Schizosaccharomyces pombe: one gene and its partners. The main gene of each other region encodes a partner of the protein of the gene in region 2 in a complex. Each region holds a gene or a part of one and is shown on either strand. Other genes may lie near its edges. The genes, in order: mrpl51, mrpl38, mrx14 and mrpl12.

Region 1 (7,700 bases), 1.9 Mb from region 2:
CACCAATACACTCCCTTCTTACCATACAGAAGCTGACCTGGACAATTCTTCCATAGCTTCTTCAAATAGAACACAGCATACTGAAGATAATTATAACAAGGATGTTTCGGATGCTCAAAATTCATTGGGGCAGTCTGCTGTAGATTTAACAACTCCCTCATCACCTCCAATCCCCCGTCATACCAAACCCAAACTGTCTACGACTCAAAGTACCCCAGTCAAACCGGCATCGTTACAAAGTGAGGAGGATATCCAGTTAAGTTTTAAACAACCGGAATTATCTGCTTCGTCGGCAGAATTGGATGAAAAGTTGAAGTCTCAGTGTAATGTATCCCCTTCACCTTCCAACATTTCTGATGCTCCCCCGAGCAAGCTTAATCGTAGTTATTCATCTCCACTTGCTTCCATTTCATCCAGAAAGGTAGTACGAATGAAATATTCATTTGAGCCAGAAACAGAAAATGAGTTAAAACTAAAAAAGGGAGATCTTCTTTTAGTTTTAAAAGAAATTGATGAAGGTTGGTGGGTTGGGGAGAAACTGGGTGAAGATGGGGTTTTTACTGGAAATACCGGAATGTTTCCTTCAAATTATTGTGTTCCAGCCCATCCATGGGACAAAACATTTCGGGCATTTTTGAAAAAGGGCTTTAAGTAGTCCCATTTATTCCGAGTACTATTGCTGCTACTTTCCGTCCAATTTTAATGGCTGTTGTGTCTACAATCATTCTTTTTTATTTCATTTTAAATGATTTTTTGAAGCTCCTTTCTTTTGCATTATTTCATTTTTTTAGCATAATACCGACTGATTTTTATGCATCACGTTACCCGGTACTCTTCATTTTTTATTTCGACTGTCGATATACTTGTCTGTATGACATTAAAATTGAGTGATCTTAACCTTAAAAGTTAGTTTAAACAGACTTGTTAATCATGTTAGCACCTATGCTTTAATATAATTAAGATTTATCTCGAACTTTTGTTTCCGTAAATTTCATACTTTTAAATAAGATGGAAAGAGTATGAACAGTATTATTTTAAAAGTGGATATAAAAATGTATTCATGAATATCATAATGTCAAAGATATCCTTTAATCTTTTAAGTTTTCTTTGTTATATATTGATTACAGGTAAATTTGAAGATTACATCTTAAATATGGAAATTTTCTAGTAACCGTTTTAAACGGGATAATGAGATTTAACTTACATCTCAGGACTTTTCTAGTTGAGCATTTAAATGCTTATTTAATTATTAAAAAAAAATTCCAACGCCTCAAATTATGGTAATCGTGATTATTTCATTAAAATGGAGAACATAAAATTAACACCAAGATATCCAGGTAAGAAAAAAGCATACTAATGTTTTAAATAAAAAGGGTAACAACTGACACGGAAAAGGAAATAACACCAAATGTTGAGGAGTAAAAAGAAATTCAGAGAACTAACCCTATCGTTAAAAAAAAAAATTATTTTCACTGAATAAACCATGAGATATGCTTGAAGAGTAGCAGGTTAACAAAAAAAAAGAGAAAGTTATTCACAGAAATTAACTTAAAAAGAACCTTTGGCAGCCATGAGACGTTGCAACATTAGCAACTTAAAGGCACTGTACTGAAGGCCAGATACTTTTCCGTTATCAACCTCGGACGGAATCTTTTGCTGCAGGTTTTCCAACCAGTTGTTAGTGATGGTATAATTCCTTTTAAGTTTATTAATGTTGGTAATAATCTTTGTAGGAGTATCAGGTATGGAATCAAACGCAGATTCAGTAAGGTCAACGTTTTTAGAACCAACAAAAGTTTCGGAAGAGGAAGCAGACTTGTTTGATGCTTCATGAATTTTAATTACATGTCTTTTCTTGACACGTTCTCGGCGGCGGAATTGTGAGGTACCATGACTACGACCAAAAATGGATGGCCTAGCCGTGGTGTCATTTGAACCAAGATAGTCTGATGCGGAATATTGGGTTGCAGGGGAAGATACAGCAGAAATATCATCAGATTGAGTAGTCAATTGCTGTATAATCGTATCGGGAGGAGTTGACCGGTATATGGACATAGGTATTGAAGGAGAAGAAATAGGAAGTAGTGCTTTTCTGGATAAGGCTAAAGAAGCAATAGATCGAATGTTAGGATGCGTTTGGACATCCAATGGGCCCATTTTAATTGGGAGATGAGTGTCGACTTTCGTAGATTCATGATAGTCGGGAGGACCATCTAGCAAATCTGGGTTATAATTAGCCAGAGAAGTATGAGATTGGTTAGGAGAAGTGAAAGGAATTTTTTGAAAAGATAGATTAGAGTCGGACTTGGCAAACCAAATTCTTGACATTTTGTATATGATGGAAGGAAGTTCTTCCTGAAACAGGGAGACCAGTTGCACCTCGATTTCTCTTTGTAAAAAGCGAGCAATAGCAGGAATAGAATCAAAGGAGGAAGATACACGCACGGATTCTAAAGGATCGTTTCGAAATACCACAGTGATACCTTTCTGCTTTGAAAACACCAAAACAACTATTCCGTTAAGCTTTAAGTCGGAAAGTCGTAAAAACATAGGCACAGTAAGCGGTGCACGAGATGCTAACATTGTATTACGAGAACTAAAACTGGGAACATTACTTTTTTGCACCGATAATGGATTGGCACGAATTTTTGTTTGCAAGACCAAAGAAGCATCACCCGAATAATGGAGATTAAAGAGGCCCTGAAAGCGGTCTGGCGCTAAGTCGCCAACCTCTAAAATTTCCAGTTGAGGAGGTTGGGGACCCAAATCCAACTCTTTTACAGTGATGTGGTCTGCAATCATCGAGTGTTTAGTGCCTTTGTTTAAAGCAGCCGTAAGCAAAGTGGTTGCTCGCTCATAGAATGACTCAGAGAACTGATCACTCCATCCCTTTACACGAAACGACATTCTGTTGATTTTCCTAAGTTATCTACATCAACTATGAAAAATGTCAAATTTTTTTGTAAGGAACCGTCTAGTATAGACTAAGTAACTAACGCTTTAGATCAATTTCTTTACAAAATTTTTATTAAATTCGGATAGGGAAACGACAACTTCCATACAGTGGCGGACAGTAAATAAACATCGATAGGCTGGCTGATGCACTAGTGCGGCATACTGAACCTTGATATAGCCAAGATAAGGATAGGGTCGATCGTACTGTATATGAACGAAGGTGTATTAGAATGCATTAAATAAATTATTACAAAATGCACAGTAGTTTCTTATGCTATACTGGTGAAATATATTTTCTTGCTATTCTGTTCATTTAGGAGGGATAAATAAAGCTTCATGAAATGAAATTCCTTAGATATTCAAATCAGAAATTCAGCCATTATTTTAGAAATGATATTAGTGGTGTTGCTTACTGTATTAATTTGCTATGTTGACAAATATCTAGGCTGAAGAACTTCGAGTACAAGAACCGATACAACTTTGCTCTTTCAGAAAAGGATATCTCTGCATAAATGAATGATATTAAATCAAAATTGTTCGTTTTAAAAAACCTATATTATGTTTGTTCGCAGTCCATGTACTACGTTAAAAAATCACTGTAAACTTTCTAGATATCATTATTTAGAGAAGAGCAGAAAGGTAAAGTATTGCAAAGTGTGTAACCAGAAACTGTAGGTAGACAGTAAACTTGATTTTGTTGCTAAAATTTTTTATAAAACTAATTGCATACTAAGTTTAACATTCTAAATCAATTGGAACAAGTATTGAAGTTTAGAGCAATTTGGGATTTGCGAATTTCCACACACCCCTTTACGTCTCCATACCGACTTTTCATTATTTCTGCAAGGATTTGCTCACCCAACTTTTTTCAATATAGCATATTAAGAATTCTGGTTTTTAAAAGACGGTATCCCCTTTTTTACGGCCTTTTACTCACTTAATGATGATTGAAATCATTCCTAAAATTTCAATTCCCAAAAATGGACTAGGTTCATTTACCCGCCCAGTAAGATTTAATCAGCTTTCTTTTTTTTTAAAAAAAAAAAAAAAAAAAAGATTGGCCTTCATTAACTTCGTATTACTAATTTTCTTTTTAGTGCCGTCGAATTGAGTTTTCGTATTGTAATTGGGGTGGAAGCTCAAAAGGCATGAAAGAATTTTTATCCACAAAGCTTGAGTCTTTGGCCAAAGAATCTCAAGATGTGGAATTTCATGTTACAAACCGCCAAGGCAAGCATCCATTAATCCGAGCTTATTACAGTACGTCCAAGACTTTTCTCTTATTATGGTGATCCTCTTAGTTTTATAAATATGAACTCCTTAAAATAGTGTTTTTTACTAATGCTACGATAATAGATACTGGTCGAGAGAAGGTCATTTGTACAAGGAAAATGTCAGCGTCTTCAATATTTCAAAAAGCAATTCTATGCAGAGATAGTGATGGTTTGAAACCTCGCCTCATAAAATATCCTGTTGAGTCAACAAACCCATCCGTTCGTGGTATTTGGAGTCCATTTTCCGATCAAGCAAAGCCCCATGAAATTTATAAGAAAAAGTCCCCTTAGATTCCTCTACAAACTACTTATTATTTCATACAAAAAAAAGAAAATTCAATTTAATCATTTTCGTTATGTTATTATGTCTAACCTTTTTGTCCGAAATACAAAACCCTATCCAAATTTATCTTCCCATAAATACTCTAGTTAACCAGGTAGTAAGTGTACAGATGTATCAAATCCCTTCTTTTTCAATATCAGGAATATGCAACGTCCCTTTTAAGCTTTTTAAAGAAACAGAACAGCCATAGCAAACATTTTGATTCTTAATACCTTCAACGGAATCCGGATGTTCAACCGTAGTTTTTTGTAACCAAGTCTCAGCATCTTCTTGCATTGGTAGATTACAGATGGTACATATGGCTTCTGTAGAAGGCACATGCAATTTTGAGCTCATTTTGACAACGGTGCTAACCAGACTTGGGAATGTATCATTCAGCGATGAGAAATATGATTCTGTAACGCCATGAATAGTATTAGGACGTGCTTCAATTAAGCTATCGCAGAAAGCTAATCCCTTAATGTTCATATACGACTTGAGGTCTGAAGACAAAACTTCACGTAGGGGACGTAGTAGGAAAGTATCGCAATTTGGAAGCTTAGAGCAGACAGAAGTGTACCATGGTATCGCAAAACCTCGACCCTCTGCCACAAGTTCAAGAACTCTTGCAGCAATTGTAGTACCGCTATCACCAAAAACAATGGTATCACAATTTGCCTTCCGGGCATAGGATACTAAAAGCTTATCCCGAATTCGGTAAAGTAAATCTTGACGCGAGGCTAACGAACTAATGACTTCTGGATTAAATTTCTCATTATCTGCGTTTATTTCTATATTTCCTCGTGAGTCTGTAGCAATGGTACGGTTCAATAACTCAGCTTCACCAATAACTTTGAATGGACATTTAGGATAATTTTTGGAAATACTTTCCTCAATCGTTTTTGCAACAGCTGAATCCGTTCCCCACTGAAAATGAACTGCAAGCAATTCATCAAACATAGGCCGGTAATTATCATCTCGATATTTTGATAAATAATTGGCTGTTTCAAGCATTGCCATTGAAGATATACCACCGGAAATAGCCAGCATTGCTCTTTTAGATTTGCGTCCTTGTAAATTGGGTCGTACAAGCTCAAATTGCCGACGAATTTTGTTCTCAATTCTTCTGACAAAGCATGAATCGCAGACCGCATCTGATTTAGTCAGAACTGTTGCCTTATTATCGCATTTGGAACATTTTGAGTCGGCTGAATTGTCTAGAGCCGTGTTCTGCATTTTTTTAGATTTTTCTATTGTTTTTCGAAATGAAGGTCCACAAAGTACTTTCAAAAAAATTATCCGTATAAATAAATAAGTTTAAGAGATACCTATTCTTCTTTCAATTCCAATTTTATGGAAAAAGAATAGTTGGTGGTGCGCAAACCAACTAAACACTGGAATTTTTCATAGTGCCAGCTACTCACACAGTACACCACCATCGACCATGTCTCTGTGTATTAAGTTGCTTCATGAGACCCAAGGTACGATTTTTTACCCAATTTTTTTTTAGTAAAACTAATTTTTAGGCCATATCGTTACGATGGAGTTGGAAAATGGGTCTACGTATCGTGGAAAGTTAATTGAAGGTATATTCATTTTAAAACGATTTCTATTTTGTTATGGTTTACTTACACTAATTAGCGGAAGATAATATGAATTGTCAAATGAGAGATATCAGTGTAACTGCTCGAGATGGTCGTGTTTCTCATTTGGATCAAGTTTACATTCGTGGTTCACACATTCGTTTTCTCATCGTTCCTGATATGCTTAGGTAAGAATTTTTAAGTGGTTGGTTTAATCATAATTTTAACGTTTTTAAACAAGGAATGCTCCTATGTTCAAAGTTGGCCCTGGCAGAAGTGTTCCTTTACCTACACGTGGACGACGATAAAAGAACCGTATGAAAAAGGATAATAGATTTGGTGATTTAAGTAATGAAAAATTCATTTCTACTGTTGCTTTAAAGTTGAAAAACGTAATGATTTTTTAAATATTCAATAAATTAATGGACGCACGTGTTTCTACATTGCATTGTAAGTAGTAAGAGATATTGTGAATAAGCTCTTTTTACATCTTTTCGAAGTACGTTTATGTAGCTGCTGTTTATCGGAGTGATACCTTCGACTTATCTATAGTGACAAATGCTATTACCACTATTTTGTGTTGTTAAAATACATATTTACAACATAAATCTTTATATGCTATACGAATGCAAAAGTTAAGTAAAAAATTGAATAATATGTAATATCCGATACTACAGAATAATAAACCTAACTTATTTTAGCTTAGAAAAAAAAATTAGGTTCTTCTGGCAGCAGCCCGCTTGGAAATCTTTCGACGTTGAGCAAGCATATGTGTATACATAATGTAAAGACCTAGAAAGTTAATAAAGATTTTGGAAGAAAAGCTGGGTTTCACTCAACTTACCAGGTGGATAAATAGACATCAAGATGGGCCAAAGCAGCTTGTTCAAACTCCAGACGTACTGAGCAGCAATCCTACTTTTCAATACTAAAAGAAATTCACTTCCAGCACCGATGGGATAGAGGATTAGGAAGGTATTATAGCGAAGCCATGTTAAGAAAGCAGGGATGTCGCCGTTCAGGTTGAATGCATAAAATGCATAACGAATTATTTCGGTAATGGACCAAGCGATGATCATACTTAAGTATATAGGAGATCCCTCAATAACATATGAAAATGGATAGCACACACCCCAAACAAGGTAAAGTCGAGATGCAACTTGAATGATTGTTGTTAAAGGAGAAGAAGATACTAGTCCAAATATACTGTGGAATACTTCAGCTATTGCCAGAGTTTGTACCCAGCGAACTAAAGTATTTGTTTCATGAAAAACTACGGCTGTATCTTTGGTTATTCCCCATATCAATCCTGTACGAAGCAAAACGCTCATCCAAAGAAAGCAGGAGATAACATTGTATAGTTTTAAATATTGTATTTTTACTATTTTTAACTTTGTTAATAACTGAGATCTATAAAAAATCGAGTCTTACAAATTTTCGACATTTTTGTTGGGATTGTAGTTGGAACAATACGATTTTCAAACGTTTCACTACGCGGCCTCACTTGTATGAGACCATTGTTGGCCAATATTGTTTGTTGCGTTCTGGGGGATGGATAAATTCTTT
Region 2 (6,944 bases):
GATAGTAACCCATTTAGTCATAGAAAAAAAAACCGTGTTTGATTATATGTACAATTTATCAACTCATTTATTTTTATCAGGTTCTTAAATCATAATGATAAACCTAGGCGATTCTATTAGGAAGCAATATATTAAGGACTAATAAAATAAACAATAAATATTAATGATTAGGAAATCAAACGCACCAAGATAATCAAATTGATAAACAAACTATAGATAAATGACAGAAATATTGAATCAACAAAATTGCAACTCATTCAAAAAGTTATCAATTTACACTTAAAGAATTATTTACCACAAAACATACTGTAGCGTTAGCATTTGTTGCTCCTGTTAATAACGACTTCTGATCTCGATGAACTCAAAAAGTTCGAACCAACATAATATAGCGAGTGCTTTTGATCATTCAAGAATTAGAAATGAATGCTAACAATACTACATTACAATTACGAATTACTATATGTCACATGTTCTGATTACCTATCGTCTTACAAATGATAACAATACGATGTAGATCCACTAATAAATTTTTTAATTTATTAGCTAGAAATGATAGATGTAAAATCAAAGGAACAACGTTCTTTAGTTCAGCTGTGGTGGTTTGTTTAGAGATAAATTACATTACCGCCTTCATACAAGGATATCCGTAACCCCCGTTATCATACAACCATATGTACCGCTATGTAGTGCACATACGAAAATCAAGTAGTCTAACATATCATTAATGATAATTACGAACTGCATAGCTAAAAAAAATAAAACGCAATATCAAACTTAACGAAAATATTTTGTGTAAACGTTAATAAACTGTAATTATTTTAAGGAAAAGTGCTTATTCACGTTGTTAAAATAAAAAAGTACAACCTACAGATGCGTACACAGAAAGAAGTGAGTTTATTCGTTCCGCGAACTAGCTTGGCAGTAAATTTTGGGGAATTGACTTTTGTACATTATAGCATACCATTGTGGATCAATTTTATGTTCATTGCATTTTTTTAGTAATTATTACTTCTTAGAGTTCCTTTTTTTTTCAACAAAACCTTCGGATTTACGTCTGAGGTGATCGATCTTTTCATGCTATGTCTGCTCATGAGGTGTCCTCCACAAAAAACTCAGAAATTGAAAGAATTATTAAAGAGGCAGAAGATGCGGGTCCTGAAAATGCACTTACGTTAGATCTATCTCATCTAAACTTGCGGGAATTACCTTATGAACAATTGGAAAGAATCCAGGGTCGGATAGCGAGACTAGCGCTAGGCCATAACTTTATAAAGAGTATTGGTCCTGAAATCCTAAAGTTTACTCGTCTCCGGTACCTAAATATTAGATCGAATGTCCTTAGAGAGTTTCCCGAATCTTTGTGTCGACTTGAGTCACTTGAAATTTTAGACATTTCTCGCAATAAAATCAAGCAACTGCCAGAATCCTTTGGAGCTTTAATGAACCTTAAAGTTCTTTCAATTTCTAAAAATCGTCTTTTTGAGCTTCCCACCTACATTGCACATATGCCGAATCTTGAAATTCTTAAAATTGAAAACAATCACATTGTGTTTCCTCCTCCGCATATCGCTAATAATGACTTGCAAGATTCTGATATGCAGTTGTTTATTGCCAATATAAAGGGATATTTGTCGCGAAACGAATCAGTCTTTAGAACGCGAAGTGAAAGTACTGTTTCCGCTGCTTTATCCGCTTCAGCTAATCTTAGTCACTCGGAAGAAAATGACTCCTCTGTGGTTGATTCTTACTTATTTAGTGCCCCATCAGATACTAGCCATGCGGTTTCACCTGGCATGCTGACGTTTGTCACGCCAAGTCCCCATTCACATTCTCCTGCCGGGCATCAACAGTCCACACCCAAATCGACTTTGTCAAAGACAAATGAGAACTCAGAAGGAACATTGTATGATTCAAATGTTGCTCATGGATGCACTCATCCTCCATCACTTAATCAATTAAACAAATTTCATCTAGATGCGTCGCCTAGACAAGCCCGTCCTCGTAGGTCAGTTTCTTTAGCTACTGGCCTCAATTCTCCTTCTGTTTCAAAACCACCTTCTTCTGCTACAGGACCATTGTACCATTCACCCCAAAGCTCACTCACCAATTCCTCCGTCGCTAGTGCAGACGTTCAAGAACGTACTCACAATACTAACGGCGCTAGCCCCATTCAAGACCAAATTTCAGAATTCACTGATCAACATCAAAATCCCTCAAATAATGATGCTGCTTCCACACAATCGATTCTAAAAACAGCTCCAACGCAGTTGAGTGCGAGTGCTAAAACATCAGCCATAAGTTTACCTGAGGTTGCCAAGAAAGAGCGTAATAGAAGCAATAGTACAAATGATGATTACTCTTCTACTAGACTTCCATCGAGTGTTTTACATCGTCTTGAAGCCCTTAAAGAAGCGCGCAAACTTTCTGAGCAATTACCAAATCGAATTTTTGCTCAAGATCCTCATCCTTCCCCTCGTTTGAAAAAAGAAGAAACGCATGAAAATGGCTCCAATTTGACAAATGACTCGGTCAACAGCTACTTCAGTAACATTGGAGGGAGTGAGGTTGAAATGAAGCACTCGGCCTTTGAAAAAACTTTAGAGTCGTCTAGGGGCATATTGTTTTCGCTTTCGCAAGTCCAACAAGCCCTTCGTCAGCAACTTCTTTTTTGCAGCAACCCCGTTGTTTTAGATTCTATGCGTCATGTGTTACATACTGCCAATGTTCAAATTAAGCGGCTAATTCTGTGCTTTGAGGATACCCAACAAAGCAATGATGGAACTGCAAACATTAATTCCATAGTAAACGCTTCATTGTCTTGTATCAGCTCGTTTCGTAAACTAATTGAAGTGACAAAAAAATTTTTAAATGAGCTCACTAGTCGTGCGGATGTCCGATATGTTCGGCTTTTACTGCTAATTCTTTTCGATGCTGCAAAGGAGTTACAAAACGCCTTGGTACCATTGAGTCCATCACAACCCCATAGTGGTAATAACATATTCGCCGATCAGGTACGTCAATCTCCGACAAGTATGATCCGGACTGCATCTGGGCTTACGAACAGAATCGTTAGCGTTGAAAAACCAGCATCAGTGATGAATCCTGAAATTGATAAACAAATACAAGATCAGGTCGCTTTAGCAACAAACAGTGCAATGTCAGTTTTGACATTACTAATTGATGCTGTTCCTAAAAATAACCAGCCTGATCTAGTAAATGAAAACATCGCACCCAATTTGATTAGTAAGTTACGTGAATTGGGATCATTATCCGCCGCCGCCTGTGATGTTACTAGAAAACTTAAGCATCGCCTTCTAACTTTTCAAACGAATCCGGAAGAATTGGAATGGCAGCTTTTTTTGGACGACACTCAAGCATTTGTCAAGTCTATTATTGCAGTCGCAAATTTAGCGAAAGCGTTATCCAGTGAATATACATTCCAAAAAAGCGTATTAGCTGGTCTTTCAGCTGCAACAAGATCTACAAAAGATCTTACTATCTTACTTTCTTCCTCTGCTCGACATTACACTGAGTCATCTTTAGCCACTCCTGTTCCTTTGATGTCCCCAATAGCCCGCGTACCTGCAACACCGTTGTCAGCGGCTCTGGGTTCGGCTGCTCAATCTATTACATCTCCTCTAATCATGTCACCAGCTGCAATTCCGGCGTCAGCCTATAGTACTAATAAAATCGATTACTTTACTGACGCGGATGGGAACGTGGAAGGTTTACAGCGCTAAAGAATTTTTTAATGAAGATTGATGAGGAATAATTGGTAACTCGATAACTCAAAAGCCTACAAAGACTATAAATTTAATGATACAAAAAATGATGCACGATTGAATTTGATTAATTTATTTCTTATTCAAATAACAAAACCAAGGACAAATTGTAAAGGATGATGGTACAAGTAGTGATTAATCTGTTTCCACATGAAAATCATGTACAAAAATTAGACAGAGTGTGTAGTTTTGGGTAGGTACTCTTTGACAAGACAAAAATTTTTTCTAATTAATTGCTTTGCTTATTTTCAAGTTTCATTTCGCATCTTCTGATGATGTCTTCAATTTCATTGATTTCGCCTGAACTCAGTCTGTGGTACTCAATGCTGGAACTATCAGTTGGAACATCAAGTGCTTGAAATGCAAACTTTTTAGCTAAGGAATAGTTTCCCAGATAATATTGTTCTTCCGCTGCAAATTTTGATTGCTCTAAAATATAGGCTTCTTCACCGAGGACGACGCCATTTTTACTAAGATGCTGAATAATCTGTTAAAATCATAGACAATAAATTGGGAGTAAAAAATGAGTAACATACACCAAAACATTGAACTCTTGGAGTCCATCCATCAGTTTCAATGCTTACTTTCTGTTTTAATCGCTTATTCCGTTCAAGCTTTGACTCACTAACATCAAAATCCAAATCAATCGCCAGCAAATCCATTCTTACTAGAACATTAAATTCTTTTGATCGATCAGATATATTTAACAGATAATGGACTATATAATAAAGCCTGCTACAGCTGTATTTTACTAAAAAAGTGTGTAGTAAAAACCTTTTAACCCCACAATGCTTACGAGTAACAAAACTCCAAAAAAGCAAAATCTTAATTGGCTATCAGGTAAAAAGTGTTTGCTGAAGAGACAAGGTCCCTTAATTAGACGTAGAATAGAAAATTAAAAAATATATTTTAATTAAGTGAAATATTAACATTACAATACCCTTTTCAGATGGTTCGTGGAGCAAGAGATGCTATTTTAGTATGATGTTTTGTTCTGAGCTCGTTGGCAACGACTGACAAGATACGGGTTCCCAGAGGCTCACACTCCTTATTAACCAAGACGCAGGCATTATCATCAAAACGAACATAACGACCATCGGGTCTTCGAACTGGTGATTTCGTCCGAACAATGATAGCATGGTGGATATCACCGCGTTTAACTTTATTAGCAGCAGTAACTGATGAACCGCTTCGTGCCTTTTTTACCACTACTACCACTTCATCACCTGTTTTTTAAAAAAAGGTGATGTTAGTCGAATATAAACAAAAGATCACTTCGTGCTACTTACCAAGTGAAGCGAATTTTCCCGCGCGAACTACACGAATGCACTCAGCTAAGGTAGCACCCTTTTCCATCTTATTAGTACAAATAGTAATATTTTAAACTTACGGAATTGTCGATAACTTTGAGTATACCTTTAAGTCCGATCATTGCTAAAGATTCAAGTACTTGACCATACATTCACGTACTCGCTTCCACTATAAATTACACTATGCGTAATATTAGAATTTGGTATTTGACGTTAGTTGGCATATCGTAGTATGTAACACATCGCAAAATATATAAATAAAAACAACTGTTTGTATTAAAAAAAAAGCGATTTGATTAGATGCATTCAAATATGAAATTATTCCAAGCAAATTGTTTGTCATAACCTGTTATCTTGCTTTAACCTTCTGATGTTTTGCTTGTTACACATGTTTTAATCAAATTCTTCATCATGCATGGAGTTGTGGAATAGTCATTAAAGCAAAAATGTGATATTGACTAGCAATTGCTCTTATCATATTAAAATATCATAATGGATTGTATGCTACATATTTGATTTTGTATTACTCGTTAATTTTGTTGAAAGTGAGAGGAGGATTTGGACGTTAGTGAATCCATTTTATTTTTTGGAAGCAAATGAACTATCATTCTCATCTTTAGACGACGCAGTTTGAAAAAATGCTCTGCGATATGTTTACAGTAAACGCCTTACTAATTTGCGATCCGATTATGAATCTCATTAGCCGTACCCGTATCTGAGCTAGACACTACACCTTGTATCGAAACTTTTAAACTTCTTCAAAATTTCAACTATTACTTGTTAAACAGTAAAATAATATTGGATATCGCTCTTAAGAGTAATAAGGGTAAATAAATGGATAAATTAAGTAGACCGGAAATCAGGCAGCAAACTACTCAACAAATGTATGATGTTCCTGAAAACATCCTTGAAATTGATGTATGTTTACTTTATTATTTCGAAATATTTCTAATAGATGTTATTTTAGGTTATAAATCCACAAACTCACGGTATTGGAAGAAACATGTTTACTACTTATGAAATTGTTTGTCGGGTAGGTACCACTGAAATTCATCTTCTGATAGCAGATTATTAACTCATTTTTGTAGACCAATATGCCCTATTTTCGTCTACATAATTCTAGCGTTCGTCGACGTTACAGCGAATTCGAGAAATTTCACGATATGCTTGAAAGAGAGTCCGGTCGTGTTTCAATTCCACCACTTCCAGGAAAGATATTCACTCAAAGATTTAGAGATGATGTTATCGAAGAACGTAGACAAGGTTTGGAAAATTTTTTACGACTGTAAGTATTGAATGTTAATTTTGCCTTATTGCCCCAAAGAGCGTTTTAAATTGCACAAAAACTAATACATTATTATGTAGAGTTGCTGGACATCCTCTTATTCAAACCCATTCTCGTGTTTTATCTTCTTTTTTACAAAGCCCGGAATTCAAGCCTACGCCATAAACCCGCCGCTAACTTGTTTTTCTCCATTTTGCCCTCCAACTGTTAATTTTTGTCAATCTTTTTTTTTATTTTAAAAGAAAAATTTGGAAATCAATCTGTTACAAAGTTTAATTACCATTTAAAATACCTTAGGTTGTTATGAAGTAAGTTTTCTATTGAGGCTAAAATATAGCAAAAATCCGATTCATCTTTTCGCTGTTTTCGTTTTTTAATTTTAAAATTAACAAAAGTAGCTCCATTCGTCAAATTGAGCGTTTAAACGAGCAAGAGTTGGATAAACCTTTTAGCAGTTCTTGGCACCAAGATTATAGTGATAGTGCATATATTTACATCGGCAACTTAGATTTTGATTTGAACGAAGATGATATTTTATGTGTGTTTTCTGAGTTTGGCGAGCCAGTG
Region 3 (8,032 bases), 250 kb from region 2:
TTCATCAACAACCAGTACCTAGTAGAAACCACTGCAAGTGGAATTAAAGAATTATTGGTCATAGATGGATACAACACCAGATAATTCTGAGAAGAAAAAAACTTCTTCTGTAAGAGAAGCAACTTTTTCAATTAATGAATCATTTGGGGGTCGTCTGCTCACAGAAGAAGAAGATGTTTTCGAGCAAAATGCGTGGTAATACTAAACAAGTTCATATGAATTGCATAGTACTAATTTACTTTAATTGTTCAGGGATCATGTAGAATGGGATGATGAGCATTTAGCATTGGCCAAAAAATGTATAGAGGAACAAAAACTATATCCTGTAACCGAAAAGGATGCTTATATGACACATCCTGAAAGGTACTGGGACCAATTTTATGGAAAAAACGAAGGAAAATTTTTCATGAATAGAAGATGGATTGCGCAAGAGTTCCCAGAGCTTCTTGACTTGCTAAAAGAAGATGCAGGAGAAAAATCAATTTTAGAAATTGGATGCGGTGCTGGAAACACTATCTGGCCAATTTTGAAGGAAAACAAAAACTCAAATCTTAAAATATTTGCTGTTGATTATTCAGAAAAGGCCATTGATGTTGTTAAACAGAACCCATTATACGATGCCAAGTTTTGCAGTGCTTCGGTTTGGGATCTGGCAGGATCAGACTTACTAAGATCCATTGAAGAAGCGTCTATTGATGCGATTACACTCATTTTCTGTTTTTCAGCATTGTCCCCCGATCAATGGCAACAAGCTATAGAAAACTTGTATCGATTATTAAAGCCTGGAGGATTAATTTTATTTCGTGACTATGGTCGTTTAGATTTGACGCAGCTAAGAGCTAAAAAGAACAGAATTTTAAGTGAAAATTTTTACATAAGAGGTGATGGTACAAGAGTGTATTACATGACAAACGGTAAAGTCAACGAAAACTATTATTAGTCCTTAATGATTACTAACTTTGCAATAGAAGAACTAGTGGATGTTTTTGGAAAAAATTTCAAAATTATTCAAAATGGAGTTGACAAAAGGTAAATTTTCAAACGGCTTTGCGAATCTGAACTAATCTCCATACTAGGCTTATTGTAAACCGAAAAAAAAGAGTCAAGATGTACCGTTGCTGGCTACAAGCCAAGTTTCAAAAATGACAAATTACTCATTCTTAAGTAATTTTCCCAAAGCTCATGGACTCAGGAATTTGGAGGCTTATGTTCATTGCCTGCAATGAAGCCATATACAATCATTTATGATAAACGCATAGCTTTTTGTGACTTTTATAAAGGGATTCCCATTAATTTATAGAATATTCATATAACGGTATCATGACTTGACTGAAAGAGGGAAGCCGTGTACATTTTAAAAAGTGTAAAATAAACACGTAATTACTTTTTATAGTATACAATTTAAGTGATACTAATTTTGTGATTAGGAAAGCTGGTAATGTCATCCTTAACTGGCTTTGCTCTTGCAAAACTAAGCTTTTCTCGAGCATAAAGACCAAATTCTTTTATATTTTCAACACCAATTGTTCGCATTATCAAACAGGAAGCGAAGGTAAAGGTTGAAACAGTTAATACTGATGTAAATGAAAACAATTTCCAAGTAATCAAAGTTGGATGCACCATTTTCTCAACAACTGGGTTTGGAGAAAAAAAATTAGGCCGTTTTAATATTGTCCGTTGTAGAACCCATGTAGACCAAAGGAAAGTTGAGCTAGATATCGCAAAAATCGCGTCCACTGTAGCGACATTTGCTAATTTATCGAACGCCATACAGTAGAAGTTAGCCAACTTTATCAATTGGTACTTCCACAAATCTGGGAAAATAAGTATATAAATCACCAAAATAGGTTTAGCTAGCACGGTTCTTCTACAATTCACGTGTGGAGAAACAATTCAGAATGATTGAGTTCGAATTCTTTTACACACATAAAGAACTGCGGTATTGATAAATTGGGAGACTGAGCGAAATATTTGGAAAAGACATTTTGTTTCATAAAAAGGAAATTTAGGATAGCAGCTCAAAATTTACGATATTTTTGTTAAGTTGTAAAAGAATTGGATAGTATATGTAGGTGCATCCCAATAACTCCAAAATTTCCCGGGTGCACGATCTATTTCGTGAGCATCTGCGCAACAAAGTTAATATAAATAAAAAATCAGTAAAACCAACATACCAATTTTAAAGGCTATTGATTCGTATGGTTCAGCAGCCACTACCAGATACTGAAACTTTCGGTCAGGAGCTTCAACACGCTGTTCATAAGCACTCATAATTCTGTATCTTGGCTTAGCGTTCACTTCAATATCTGGATACTTTATTTGGAAACGTAGGCCAAATTTTCCGCTTTCGGCTTCTCTTATTTTGGACACTTTATAACCGGGTCGACCAATTTTTACGACACTTTTTTTAACCTGGACATGGGATTGAGAAATGCCCAACAACACTTGTGGTGCATTCTCTTGAGACTTTTTATTTTCGAGAGCCTGTCTCCTGGCTAAATTTGTCTGGTGTTTTTTACCTTGTGTATGGGTAAGGTAAGAGTTTTCATTCGCATGTGTAGTGAGGCAAAGACGACATTCAAAAGTGCCTAAATGATTTTTCATCAAATATGGATCCTATAAGAGATTAGCAATAGAAATATCATCGCAAAGAGTTTGAGGAGGAAGCTTCAAGGTGATTGACAGGGTAAAAAAAAGATGTCCAATTAGTGTAACATGCAAAACAGCAAACAAGGAAGTAGAAAGCAAATCCTTTTCATTTATTATTGTTGTTATTTTAGTTGTTATAGTTAGCGAATTTAACAGCAACTACTAATAAACTTCAATAATATGTAACATACGTACATGTCTTACTTTACACGATTAATTCATCGGTAATTATAATTGACATTCAGCACTCAAATTTTCAGAATTCAGTGGTTTTTAAACATACCTTTGATAAATCAATGGTTTCTAGCGCCAATTTACGAAGACGCTCTCTACGTGCAGCATTTGTTTCTTGATAGCCAGCAACGCCTCCTCCTCCAAAACGAACACCTGCGCGGTTTTGATAATCCATTTTTTAGTTCCTAGAAAATCCAACACTTATTTTTCTGTACTTTCACAATGACAATAAAGTCCCCTAAAAGACGGTGGCAGAGGCTGTACTTTCGTGAACCCCTATGTTTAAAGAAATATCGCAATGCAGAACAATACGCTAAATTCTCATCGTCGATGCCTTTTTTTTAACAAATATTTTAAATAGCAGATTAGAGCTCCTTTTCTCCATTTTATTATGTCACGTAAAAACAAAAAAAAATAATAACTTTTGATAAATTTAATGTATTGATGCTCCCATATATGAGTATATTTAATATGCTTTCAATATTTAAAAAGCCGGGACTGCAGCAATTTGCTTCCAATTTAAAATACTGGGTATTATTAATAAAATAAAATAGATAAAAGAAAGTATAAGATGTCATTTAACTGCTAAAACCTTTTTTGTACTATAAATTATCACTTTTAGCCCATGAATCGAATTCATTAAACTGATGGATTTTACTATTTGGTAATCTCATGCCAATTATTTGTTGGGAAAAAGCAAAAGCGATATCAAATTTTAGGGGTTCAGGTTGCTTTCTTTAAGGGCGTATAAAGAATGGTTAATGAACTATTTATTAATAATAATAGTATTATTATTATATTACCGACATTCCAGTGAATTGAATGAAACTATTAAAACGTAGTTATTGGATTTTAGCAAAGATTTTAATTTATTGTAACACAAATATTTGAAATTTAACACTTCGAATGTCAAACGGTGCTACACTGATTCACTTCAACCTTTCTAATAACCAGCTACTCCATCACATCTCAAATCTCTTCATTTTGCACATTTACGTTCATATATAATTTTTATATTATTTTTTGAAATTTTTTCTCTTGAAATCCAGTCACCTGCTTTCATTCCTATTGCTTTATGATGTTTATGCAACAATTTCGAAATTTGTTGCATCCTGCCATGAAGGGAGCCAGGAATATTTCAATATTAGCTGGAGGAGGAACTATGAGAGGGTTTCCGACAAGAAACCCTTTTAATACCGCTACTTTATACAGTTCTTTACCGACTATGAACATCTTCGGTCAAATGCAGCAAGTGCGTTGGAAAACGTATGGAAACGAGTATCAACCCTCAAATAGAAAGCGTAAAAGAAAACACGGATTTTTATCTCGAATTCGTTCTGTTAACGGTCGTCGTGTTTTACGAGATCGAAGACAAAAAGGGAGGATGTATCTGAGCCATTGAGTACATATTATCTTTTAATGGGCTCTAATTTGCATTAGTAACCTCTATCAATTCTTCATTTAAGTAATGCTTTCTAGTTTGTGATACATTTTCTTTCCATTGGTTCTTTGTTTAATTTTACTTGTTGAACTTTGAACTTTAATAACTTCTTTAAAACACGAGTTTATAAAATTTATTTTCCATGTCTGCGACTATATTTTTCATGAACAATTTTCCATCATTTATAAAATAAACCGTAATTTTTTTATATATTGGGTGCGATCATATCGGACTTAACCCACTTTTCTACCGTTTCTTTAGAGGTGCTTAAAAGCAAAAATTGTCTAGCTTCTAAAGCTATCCATAATTGAACCATTGGGTTTGTGAGTGAGACATTGGATTTCGATGAAGCAGAACGAAGATATGGTGTAGCATTACTTAATAGATCCATTTCTGGATATAGTTGGCGTCCAGCGCCTTCAACTAAAAGGATAGATAGCACAGTATTTGCGAAATTTGCTTCAATTCGAACATGATGCTCTCTCGCCATAGTCATTACTTCTTGTAATATAGTTCCTATTTGAAGTGATTTCAGTGAAAGCGTGCTCTTTTGAATTTCATTCAACAAATGTTCCATTTTAAGAGCAAATATGTCTTTGTTTATAACGCGTTCTGTCTGCCTGCTCCTTTCAACCATCAACAGTCCAGCCTCATAGCCATGGAAAGTAAGTACGGCTTGAAACAGATCCAAAAAATTTTTCTGATCCTGCGTACTAAGTTTCGTTACTAATCCAGCATCCAAAAATACTAAAGTCGGTCGATAGCCCAAGATGTTTAATTCTTCCATAGCAGAATCCCATTCCTCCGTCGAACATGTACTTAGAATTTTATAAATTGAGTCATTAATCTCATTATCTTGATTAAAGATTGTTTTAGGGATTCCTTTGTAAAATTTAACAAGGACATTACCCGGATGAAGATCAGCATGTGTAAAGTTGTCAACAATAAGCATTTGAAATAATGCATTATTTCCTGTGTTAGCTAACAACTTGTTAAATGGTCCTGACTTATGTTTGAGGAACGCGCTTAATGGGATACCCGGCATATAGTCTTCTAGTAGGATTTGATTAGTCGTGTAATCATCATAGGGAGCTGGAAATTCAACATATCTATTTCCTCTAAAGTTAAGACGGAACTGGTTGAGATGAAGCGCCTCATAATGTAAATTCAATTGCTGGTTTAACATTGCCCCAAATACCTTAACTTCGTCGGGCAGAGAAAGCCACTTCATTGAAGGTACCAAATTAATTAATTTTGCGAAGAAACCTAAGATTTGTAAGTCTAAAGAAATGTATTTTTCAACATTCGGGTGCAAAACTTTAATGGCTACATCTTGAGTCACTGGCGCATCAGAGATATTTTTCTGTCGAAACCCTATAGATTGTAGCATACTTGTAAAGTAGGAATTATCTTGCTGCGTAGCTGCTTTCTTGATGGTAGCCGTATAGACTTGAGCAATTGCTCCAACACCTATAGGTATTGGGTTAAAATTAACAAAAATTTCCTCGATAGATTCCACTTTATAAGTCTTGCAGATGACTGATTGAGTATAGGCAAGGCTGTGGGGCGTTACATGTGAATGTAATTTGGACAGTGTTTTACAGAAAGCAGGAGGAAACAAATCTGTCCGTGAAGCAGCCCATTGTCCCAACTGCAAAATAAAAAAATAATGTTAGTAACATGATAAGCGTAAATTCAAAACGTACCTTGATAAACGTTGCTCCTGCTCTTTCTAATTGAGTAACGAGGAAACGAAGCCAAATGGATACGGTTAAAGACGACAAAGATCGAAGATGCAGGAAAGAAATAAGAGCGATAAACGGTAAGGTAATAATAATTGGAGAGAAAATAATAAATAAATTAAATGACCTGAGGAGAATATTAAAAAATTGTTTTATTTTTCCAAAAATAGAACGAGGTCGATTGCTTCTCTCTTCTAATTCAAGTTCGTCAAAGGAGAAAATATTATTCTTTCGATTTTTGACTCTGTATAAAATCCATAATCCTCCGACCGTAAAAGGGAGGACAAGAAATGTAATCCTTAGTATCCTCCATTGCTTCTGGTCTTCACTTTTTTGTCGGGTTGTAAACTTTCTTGCAAATATAGGTTTGGGGAATAAAGATATATGCTTCAATCGATTAACCAGTACGTGCTTTTTTTTGTATGGTGACCAAACTGACTGTGTCCCGCATAACCTTTTCCATCTTGTGTTCTGCGAGTTAACGACAGGAATATAATTTCTTTGAATAATGAAAGCAAAACGAGAGTTTGCAGAAGGAATCATGCTTAGACTAAGTCCCGAACGTATGTGAGAATTCCAGTGAGAAAAACTAATCATGTTCACCAATTATTGACTTTCAGAAGAGCATTTCCTTATCAAGAATCAAAAAAATAAATAAACTAATTACAATGGGTATTTTCGATTGAAAACACTGGCAAACCTGATAAAGAAAATAGGAATTGTTCAATAAATGTGTATAGCAGCTACTAAAAGAGGTGTTTCAAAGAATTTAGGAAACCCTGTCAACCTTTAATATCTTGAAAATAAAGAATGCACCAGTTCAAAAATATTGCTCAAATTTACGTGTCACTAGTGTCTATTGGTGTCAACGTCGAATGACGCTGTCTACTTGTGACTGGGAGAAAGAAAAATAATAATTGTTAGCCAAAATGAAGACTGTAATAATAATCAATTCTTTCATTTTATAAATAAAATATTGACTAATTAATGCTCAGTTCCTATTTGGATTCTATAGAATTGAACTTACAGTATGATAAACTGGATATGATCATCTAGTACGTGAAGAAACATTTTTTTATTCATTATTACCAATAAAATGTAATTTATCAAAATTTCAAAGTTCTAATTGAAGGGAAGATTATTAAAATATAAAAAATGACTGATTATAGGAATCACATTTTTTTTCCTTATACACCTATAATCGGTAATATTCAAATAAGTTAAATAATCAGTTCATGGTAGTATTCTGCTGCCAAAGAGAGATAATTGTAAAATCGCTAGCAGTTGATAAAATAAAGTATAAATTGAAATTAAAATGGAATTGTTTGTACTGAATTAAAAAGCTTTACCATCATTACTTCAATTGCCGTTAACTCAGAGACTAGCATAGAGTTTATCTATAGAGACTCTTTGATTGATTTAATAAAAAGCCTTTGATCGACGATGGTTCATTCGCCAAGTTTCATTGATGAGTAACAGTTGACTGAGAATATTTCACCTAACCCATTCTTGATAAAAGTATAAATTGGAAGTGCTAATTTAGAACAAATTATTAAGTTCTTGGCTCAAAATTTTGAGATGTCCCTACAGGATGTGTAAAAGTTGAGTATGAATATTATTACTGATGCCCAGCTATCAAATGTCATCCTCTCCCCAACACTACCAATTCATTCGAAAACATACATATTGAATGAAAACACACGAAAATCAACGATACTGTTTTTTAGATTCTGACATTTGTAAATTACGAGAGGGTATTTTGAACGAAGTTGAAGAATTAATTCAGGATGACCGAAAATTTGCAGTCGGAATCAATTCCCCATGAAATACTCCCTAAGGAGCCTTTTGATTTACCAATGAACAACTTAAAAAGCTCTCCTAAAAATAAAGATTCAGAGAAACGAATAAATAATTCGATCGCTGAAAGTGAGCAGGTTGTTGATTCGGCTCTATCTAATCCAGAGAC
Region 4 (8,468 bases), on a different chromosome or scaffold from region 2:
ATTTACAAAAGATTATACAAAGACTACGTCTAAAAAAGAACCTAAACAATTAGATATTGCTGCTTCTGATCAACAAATTGAGCAGTGGAGTGATCAGATCCACAAATTAGATAAAGCGATTCGTTCTACAATCGATAACTCTCGACTCTTCTATGATGCTTGGAGATGCATGGTTTGTATAGCTCCCTCCGTCACTGCCTCTTGGATTTCTTTGTACAGACAGTTACCTCCTGAAAAACAACCTGCTGCTTCTGTCGGAACATTGGTCGATTGGAACAAGGCCTTGGAACGTCAACGTCGTGAAGTCTTGCTTGCCCTGCAAAATTTCCATGTCATAGTTATTGCTCCTTGCAAGGAGGTCAAAGGCTATGTAAAGAAGGCAGTTGAAATGATTAAAAGAAGAGATAAAAAAGTAAAAGAACTTGAAAAAATTCAAAAAGAATTATTGGTTGTTTACGAATTGCCTGATCCTGAAACCAAAAAAAGTAAAATTAAAGCATTACAAAGCCAGCTTGTCCGTGTCAATGGTGAATTGGATGACCTTCAGAAGCATTTAACTTTGTCCTTCCCAACTCTTATTGCAAAAAGTCGTGTTTTTTTTGGACAACTTATGAAGCATTTTTACTGCTTGCAACTTCAAATGTTTCGAAAAATGCACAACATTGTTCGCCCTTGGGATTGTTTTCAAGACGATATTCCCCAAACGTGGCTCGTTGAGTTTTCCTCAGTTTGCCAGGCTGCTGAAAGCATTTCCTTAATTGCCGTAAACAACAACCGTCCTCCCGTAGAACTTCCAAAATCTGGTGATGTTTTATCAAATAGAGAGTGGGAAGCTGGAAAAATTGATGCCATGAATTCTCTCATCGCTCAGAATTTGCATACTTCAGCGTCTCAGGTAAGCCTTTCGCCTATGGCTAGTACCGCTAGCTCTTCTGTTACAAATTCTCCCGTTGACACACATACTCCTTCAACTCCAATTATGTCGCGTCCTCCATCCATGAAAGCCCTTTCTTCTGGTGTAGAGTCCCAAGATGAATCGGTTGCTAGTAGTAATTTTCAAGTTCCAATTATATCGAATCCGCTTTTTAAATCCCCTGCACCTTATTCACCAACATCCGTTATCTCCAATCATTCCTCCACCGGTAAATCCCTGGTGATTTCTGAATGGGCATACCTTGCCTCAGGAAGTGCGAATGTGGTGTTTGAGTATGTTGGTAAAAATCCTTACTTTCAAGACAAGGTAATTCGTCTTCGACGTCGAGGACAGGTTTTTACTACAGAACAAGTTTATGAATACTATCAAAATGTAATTTATCCTTTGTTTGCTGGAATGGAAAGCTTTTTAATTGAGGTTTTTTTGCAGCCAGTTACTAGGGATTTTTTGCTGGCGGCCCAAAATGCTTCTGGTATTTATTTAAATTTAAATGAGCAATACTGTTTGGTAATGAAAGATCTCAAAGATGGAATTGAAATGAAACCAAAATGGTTGACTCAGTCCCCTGCCGCTCCACCTGACTGGGTTGTTTGTCGAACGTGTGCCCTTAGCCGTATGCGTGGTAGACCCGTTGGTTTTTGTCCTCTACAGCTTGATTTCAACAATTGGCCCAAGTTTTTGTGCTGTCTTCAAGGATTTGTGAGTCCTGATATCGCAATGAGATTGTTTCAGTCTGGTATACTACGGAAGCTTCGTGACCTACAAGAGCAATACTCTCGTACTGATGTTGCGTTAGCGATGACCCTTCGAGATGTGACTTTATACATTGGTAAAGATCACATAACATTACTAGATTTAGATCCTAAAGACATGAATACCAAAATGTCTAAATGGGAACGTGATGAAAGGAATTTGATTGAAGGCGGTTGGTACTATGGTCGTGGGATGAAGTCTACTGACAAAGCATGCCGGAGCAGCATAAAGTAATTATCTCATTGTTAATTTTTTTTCTAATATGTAATACCACCATCAATTTGTGGATTTATTGCAATATTTCAATACATTATGCATTTTTGTTTTATTTGTTATATGCCTGATAATTAACAGGGAGATAAAAGCATAAAAATAAAGGGTTAGATTTATTTGTTCTCTTCAACTAACTGTTGAACACTTAATAATTCTAGAGCATTTTTTACTACGAGGTTAGTTTATTTTCTAATTATTACTAATGAAAAATTAATAAGATCCATTGAACATATTTTAGATATTTGATGAATGATCACCTAAAAGTTGTAGTTACTATACTTAACTTGCCAACCCCCATCTCACTTGCACCTTACTTCACCTCAAGTATAATTTTAAAATACAGCATGTTTCGCATCGCATCACGCCAAACAAGAAATCTGTAAGATTGTAATTATTTTTAATTAACAAATTTATACTAACTTTAAAAGACGTGCTTTATCTTCCAGTAAGAACTGGGCAAGATCGTTGGTAAACACGCGATCATTTCGAGCTGCCGCATCTGTACAAAACAATAATGCCCAAATTGGGGAAATGGTTGACAAAATAAGCTCTCTATCATTGTTAGAGACGTCTGAACTTGTAAAGCAATTAAAGGAGAAGTTAAACATTGCTGAAATAGCTCCGATGGCAGCAGTGGCTCCAGCAGTAGCTTCAGCCGCTCCTTCTGAAGAGAAAGCTCCTGAGGAAAAGAAAGAGGAAAAAACCACCTGGAATTTGAAACTCGAATCGTTTGATGCTGGTTCGAAAGCCAAGGTGATCAAAGAGGTGAAGTCTCTTTTGGGATTATCTCTTGTGGACGCAAAGAAATTCGTTGAAAGTGCTCCAAAGGTTTTGAAAGAAAATATTTTGAAAGAGGATGCTGAAGCTATAAAATCGAAGTTAGAGAAACTTTCTTGTAAAGTAGTCCTCGAATAAACTGGGTTGTTTATAAAAAATTTCATTTCTATGCTTTTCCGCCATTCAAATTCTTTGGGCAACCTTTTTGTTATTGCTTTGACATTGTGACACGATTTACTTTCTTGGATTCCCATAAAAACTAAGCTACGGAGGGAAAATTCATCATCTCTAAAAAAACCAGATATTAGGTAATGTATAAAATACTCCAAAATTATTAGTTAATTATATGTTTTTATTCTATTTGGGTTACACTCTATGTTTTCGCTCTTCGGTTCAGGAAGTTGCATGAAGACATTCATTAAACTTTTCGTATTCATCCTTTAGGGATTCCAAATCGCTTTCAGTAATTCCTTGGGTAGTGTTCCATGCAATTTCCGCTTCTAACTCTGGTTCTGAAATAGCCCAAATGTTTTCACGCATTCTTTTGTGTCGCTCTCTGTCTTCTTCAATCCTCTTAAGAATGTCGTTTTTTGAAATGGCTCCTGAAGTACTGGTATCACCTGACTTGCTCGCTTGTTCATGGGCTTCTACCGTAGCCATAGCATCTTTATATTGATTATCATCGATTACCTTCTTTTCATGCAAAGACTGGAGTACTTTTCTAACCTCTGGAGCGTTAGCAGCTCCAGCAGCTCCTATAGGAGCTACGTTCTGGACTAGCTTACAGATATCTCTACTAATCATATTAAGATATCCACCTGTAAGGCCATTTTTTAAGCACATCTCACAGAGTGTGTCCACAAAGTACATGATATTCACTCTTGTATTGAACGAACCTGACTCTAGTTCCTCCCATATACATGAATATAAGTCTTCTTCCAAGTCTAGATGCTTAATTGCAAATTGCGCGGGTTTAATTTGAGAGAATTGCGATGCATTCAATTTTCCCAAAAGCTGTAGAAATGTCATGCGGCCCTCAAATGGATCCATTTTATTATTGCAAGTATATTGGTAATTGCGAGTGCAACAACGATTTTTGTTATGATGGTTTTTCTTATACTTCGTGAACTTTGAATTCCAAAAACATCAAGAATAATTTTTTAAATAATAATAATGTGTGTTGTCTTAAATTTCAAATATAGAATAAACTTCCTTTGCCAAGTGTTCATCTATTCTTGAAGCTGCAATCTCTGAAATTTGAGACTAAAAAAAGCGTTGGGATACTATTTTGCGAAAGGACGTTGAACCTTTCCAGATTCAAATAAATTAAAATATACTCAGTGCATAAGTAATATTAAGAGGTCTTCAAACTGTTAGCATGTTGCAAAATCTGTTGCTTTAAGTAGCATGTTACTTTATTTCAAACACTATTACTGTACCTTTAAAGAAACTAAAATCTCATTTTATTAAATACTACTTTTTTAGTAATTTCAACAGCGAAATAGTAAATTTTCAAAGATATTTTTATATAGCCCTGATAAAGTTATAACCATTCACCAAACTGTTAGGATCTCTGAGTATAAATAGCGGGAAAGAATAACTACTATACTTTAATAAAAGCACAAAAACCGACCTTACTTATATGGTAAAATGAAACCCATGAATCAGTAAACAATTTTTATTTTTTTATACGCTCTACTAAGTCGTACATACAAAATCAACATTTCCTTTCAATAAAGAACTGCTTTGAAATCTAAAATGGCCAGCGACAAACTTATAAGGTTTGCCTAAAAAGTAAATATAATGGAGAAAAATACTCTCGAAAAGAGAAAAAAAATGCAGGATGTATTGTTCAAGGAGAAAAATATAACAACGGGATAATGATATAATGGAAATACACCCGTCAAGTTGCAAGTAAAAGCGATCCTAAGCAGAATAAGCTTCTACAAACTCAACATAATCAGGACTTAACTCAACACCTGATCCTTGAGCCTCCTTGATAGCATTGCAAGCTTCCTTCAAGTAATTATCCTGACTAGCCTCGTCTTGAACAATTTGAGCCAGATCCATCTTTATATCCGCAAGTTTTAACAAGCGTTCAGGAGATTTATCCAGAGTATAAATAACATTCCAGGTATCGACAGAATTGTTGAGCCAGCTGGAAGCCTTGTTGATTAGGTCATCTACATTACTTTCACTGTTGTCGAGCAAATCCATATAATATTCCGCGAAGGTAGTATAATTATTTAGAACAGCCTCTTGAGCGATTAACTTATAATAGGCAGGAGTGTTGGGATCGACAACAGATTTTAACCACAATGCAGTTATAATTGAACAGACATCAAGGAGAAAAGCTTCAGAGAATTGATCACCGAATTGAAAGAGGTAGGAAGAGAGAATGTATAATGGGCGTAAAGAATCGGGGGTAAGAGCATCAAAATATTCAGTGGAATCCTGAGCAAGAGGACGAAGGTATTGGATGGCCTTCTCAATATATGGGTTTACCAACTGAGTGACCGGGATGTTGGCAAGAGATTCCTCGTTATCGTGACGCCAAACAAGAACACGTACCTTCTCAAGGTAAGCACGAGCAAGAGCAAGGAAAAGTCTCGATTCGTTGCCAGGAGCATCCAAGCCAAGTTGAGCTCTCTCGATTGCAGCATCTATGTAGGATTCTTCGGTATTGGTTTCCTTAAGACGCTTTTGTGCAATTTCGAAAAGCTCGGACACAGCCAAAAGAGCGGAGGAATAGGCCGCGTGAAAGTCCTTGGGTAATGTAGAAATGTCCTCGGTATTCCGTAATATTCTATCAGCCTCGTGAATGGTACCAAAGACAAGGCTCACACTAGCATCTATATCGTCATTTTCCAACTTTTCGCGACTCATCTCGTATAAACCCCAAAGTTGTGAAATATTGTCTTCCTCTGTGTAAACAAGCATTGTCTCATCCTCCATTTCTCCATTGTCGACATTTTCGCTTCCGTTTTCCTTACTAGGAGACGAGTTTCCTGACAGCTCATAAGAGGCTTCTTGCTTTTGTTTTTCAAGCTGCTGCTGCTTCTTTAAAGAAGCAGCAGCGCGTAGACCTTGAGGTCTTCTTCCAATCATAACGAACCGTTAAATTAACCTGTTTTGCTAAGGCAGCGTTGACATCGAGTGATTTTTTCTACCCAAAAATCGCGCGGGAAACTTGTTAGCAAGTTACAACGTAATGTGGTATTGTTGTTGCGTTGTCGGCCATGTGCGTTAAACCTAATAAGAGCATGGCGTAACAAAAACAATACCGTCGTTTTGTGGCTGTGGAAAACGAGTTACCAGAAGCTTGGAGAACTTGACATGTTAAAATGTATTAGTGGAAAGTATAGAGGCTCGTAATACAGTCGTACATATTGACTTGTTTACAAAAATTGATGATTTTAAATTGTGAAGGGGAAGCTTATTTTAAACATCTAATTATGCAGCAAGATACATTAACACGTTTTGGATTTTCATTGTTAAAAAAAAAGAGCAAAATTAAAAAGGAGATGGAAGAAAGTAAAGCTTTATGACTTCAGCGGATCTAGAGCAATTGAAGTAAACATATCTAGCCGAAATTTAACTTAGTAAATTGATTAAGATAGGTTTCTGTAAAGGAGATCTATGATATTCAAAATGCGGCAATATTTCTTAGGGCTTATGGCGCAAAAAGGTGCTATACAAAATTGCCAGCACGAGATAACATTGAAGATTTGGCAGTTTTGTAATGTAACGCTAATCTTTATTAAACAATAATATAATACGAAATCGCAACTTTTATGTGGTTTTGACCGTTTCTTTGGCAGGGAATTTGAATTCGTTTCTTAGTTTTTGAACGATATCTGATCAACGAGTTTGTTTATTTTAATTTTTTTAAACGGCTGCTTTATGGTAATGGACCAAGATTGCTCCAGCACCTTAAAAATACAGCACTAGTATATATATTTCGGTCGCCATATCAATAAATTACTTGATTCAGGTGCCGAAGTAATAAGTACTTAGGATGAATGTACTAGATGAAATTGAAAGTTTGTTAGCCAATTATAAAACAAAATAAAGCCTTTTTTACCATTTGATGACAGAATTTCTAATTTTTTTAATATTACTAAGTTATCTTGAACAATTAGTCATGTCCGAGGCTCGGACATAACAACATGCTAGTTTATAAAAGCACTACATTGTTTCACACAGTAAAAGAATACTCAGATATTCATTTACATTATTAACATCATGACCTTGCCTGAAAAATTACTGAAGATTACTCCCAAAATCCTGGTTATTATGGGAAGCGTTCGCAGCAAACGCTTATGTCCAACTATTGCAACGTGGGTTGGTGAGATGGGAAAAAGAGAGACTAATTTTGACTACGAAAAAGTTGATTTAACTGATTGGCCTCTATCTATGAGCGATGAACCCGGACTTCCAATTATGGGAATAGATGTGTACACTCAGGAACATACTAAGGCCTGGGGGTCCAAAATTGCTGGAGCAGATGGTTTTGTTTTTGTAACTCCGCAATACAATGGTGGATATCCTGCAATCCTTAAAAATGCCTTAGACCACTTGTATCACGAGTGGAATGGAAAACCGCTTTTGATTGTAAGCTATGGTGGCCATGGAGGAGGAGATTGTGCTTCGCAACTAAAACATGTTGCCGGTTTTCTTAAGATGCGAGTCGCGCCTACCATGCCAGCGCTCACGTTACCCAGAGATAAAATTGTTCAAGGTGTAGTCGACCCAGCGGTTGAATTTACAAAGCACCTTGGTGAACTTAAGAAAGCCTTCGGTGAGTTTTCTCAGTTGTTTGAAAGCAATCCTGAAAGGAAACCCTAGATAATTAAAACATAAGAGTATTTTGAAAGCTAGTATAGAGTGCATTTAATAAAGTCTGTTTTTTGTTTTTTTTTAAAAAGCCAATTTTCCAGTAAATCTGTTTGGTTTTAGATTTTATTCACATGGATAGATCTATTACTGTCATATCAACTTACCAATGGACTCTAATACCTTAATCCTTCCTGCTGTTCGTGTTGCCTAATGAAGGATTTTTAGCACGCATGTATTAGTAAACACGGTTCATATTCAGTCATTGTGTAATACGAATTTGTTCAGCAGTAAAAGTTCCCTTTAAAATTATATTTTAATACAATTTCAGTGAAGCTATTCGTGTTTTTCGTTTATAAGAAAAAGGACATAATTACTACTTGAAAAACTGCTTTGTTTTGACTGTTAACATGTCAAGAAAATATGTACACACATGTAGTCGTTATGAATAATATGCATTATAAGCATTATGATATGGTCTCGGGTAGTCAGGCCTCTGAACCTTATACCAGTCTACAATACTATCGGTTTTAGGTATACTTTGAAGGGATTTTAGTTTTCAAGACAACGGCTCAATACACGAGACTATGAAATATCTAAACAAATTAACTAGATTTGACTAGAGAAAATGTAGAATTTACTGCTAATTCTGCCAAATCTTTTGTGGTTCCCTATTTTCTTACATGGTGATACGATCTCTGGTTAGCGCAATCCTTTCTCTTGTCTCCCACATTCCTACTATCTTTACATTATTTCTAAATAGTCATTTCAGCATTAATAATGTACCCAAAAATGAAAAATGACTTGATTCTTAGGGCTGCAAAGGGTATTATACTTTCGCTTTAGCAATTTGTAAGCGCTTACTCACATTATGAAATAATAGGAGAAGAAGTAG

Evidence for each region.
Region 1: mrpl38 (region 2) and mrpl51 share a complex: the UniProt entries of both Schizosaccharomyces pombe proteins name them as parts of the mitochondrial large ribosomal subunit.
Region 3: mrpl38 (region 2) and mrx14 share a complex: the UniProt entries of both Schizosaccharomyces pombe proteins name them as parts of the mitochondrial large ribosomal subunit.
Region 4: mrpl38 (region 2) and mrpl12 share a complex: the UniProt entries of both Schizosaccharomyces pombe proteins name them as parts of the mitochondrial large ribosomal subunit.

What each region holds. Positions count from the first base shown.
Region 1 is NC_003423.3:1,696,187-1,703,886, forward strand, and holds mrpl51 (mitochondrial 54S ribosomal protein mL43), read left to right. Parts: upstream 1-3,746; 5' UTR 3,747-3,895; coding exon 3,896-3,961; exon of another isoform or gene 3,962-4,052; coding exon 4,053-4,215; exon of another isoform or gene 4,216-4,311; coding exon 4,312-4,520; 3' UTR 4,521-4,686; downstream 4,687-7,700. Other genes in the region: SPOM_SPBC19C2.10 (BAR adaptor protein ), read left to right, coding at 1-655; protein Mdm34, read right to left, coding at 1,549-2,907; cytosolic thiouridylase subunit Ctu2, read right to left, coding at 4,687-5,787; Sm snRNP core protein Smd3, read left to right, coding at 5,996-6,032, 6,078-6,137, 6,193-6,322, 6,376-6,442; phosphoprotein phosphatase Phs1, read right to left, coding at 6,850-6,926, 6,979-7,515, 7,566-7,578. UniProt on the Schizosaccharomyces pombe protein: Component of the mitochondrial ribosome (mitoribosome), a dedicated translation machinery responsible for the synthesis of mitochondrial genome-encoded proteins, including at least some of the essential transmembrane subunits of the mitochondrial respiratory chain.
Region 2 is NC_003423.3:3,549,618-3,556,561, reverse strand, and holds mrpl38 (putative mitochondrial ribosomal protein subunit L38), read right to left. Parts: upstream 5,219-6,944; 5' UTR 5,215-5,218; coding exon 5,173-5,214; intron 5,130-5,172; coding exon 5,072-5,129; intron 5,009-5,071; coding exon 4,728-5,008; 3' UTR 4,671-4,727; downstream 1-4,670. Other genes in the region: leucine-rich repeat protein Sog2, read left to right, coding at 1,080-3,740; SPOM_SPBC887.08 (uncharacterized protein), read right to left, coding at 4,012-4,260, 4,319-4,444; sorting nexin Snx3, read left to right, coding at 5,927-6,010, 6,060-6,125, 6,181-6,377, 6,458-6,542; RNA-binding protein Cwf29, read left to right, coding at 6,681-6,685, 6,776-6,944. UniProt on the Schizosaccharomyces pombe protein: Component of the mitochondrial ribosome (mitoribosome), a dedicated translation machinery responsible for the synthesis of mitochondrial genome-encoded proteins, including at least some of the essential transmembrane subunits of the mitochondrial respiratory chain.
Region 3 is NC_003423.3:3,800,828-3,808,859, reverse strand, and holds mrx14 (mitochondrial 54S ribosomal protein bL34m), read left to right. Parts: upstream 1-3,831; 5' UTR 3,832-3,958; coding exon 3,959-4,285; 3' UTR 4,286-4,529; downstream 4,530-8,032. Other genes in the region: trm140 (tRNA (cytosine) methyltransferase), read left to right, coding at 65-195, 253-914, 969-1,029, 1,077-1,146; SPOM_SPBC21C3.06 (uncharacterized protein), read right to left, coding at 1,402-1,770; U2 snRNP-associated protein Sap62, read right to left, coding at 2,026-2,111, 2,175-2,616, 2,933-3,058; cqd1 (ABC1 kinase family protein ), read right to left, coding at 4,530-5,975, 6,031-6,663; Rpd3L histone deacetylase complex subunit, Sds3-like family protein Dep1, read left to right, coding at 7,854-8,032. UniProt on the Schizosaccharomyces pombe protein: Component of the mitochondrial ribosome (mitoribosome), a dedicated translation machinery responsible for the synthesis of mitochondrial genome-encoded proteins, including at least some of the essential transmembrane subunits of the mitochondrial respiratory chain.
Region 4 is NC_003421.2:1,158,206-1,166,673, forward strand, and holds mrpl12 (mitochondrial 54S ribosomal protein bL12m), read left to right. Parts: upstream 1-2,250; 5' UTR 2,251-2,304; coding exon 2,305-2,339; intron 2,340-2,388; coding exon 2,389-2,875; 3' UTR 2,876-3,130; coding exon of another isoform or gene 3,131-3,787; 3' UTR 3,788-4,111; downstream 4,112-8,468. Other genes in the region: ipk1 (inositol 1,3,4,5,6-pentakisphosphate (IP5) kinase), read left to right, coding at 12-1,921; Lsk1 complex gamma subunit lsg1, read right to left, coding at 3,131-3,787; protein Nro1, read right to left, coding at 4,664-5,845; SPOM_SPCC4B3.06C (NADPH-dependent FMN reductase), read left to right, coding at 6,983-7,585; putative uroporphyrinogen decarboxylase Hem12, read left to right, coding at 8,354-8,399, 8,457-8,468. UniProt on the Schizosaccharomyces pombe protein: Component of the mitochondrial ribosome (mitoribosome), a dedicated translation machinery responsible for the synthesis of mitochondrial genome-encoded proteins, including at least some of the essential transmembrane subunits of the mitochondrial respiratory chain.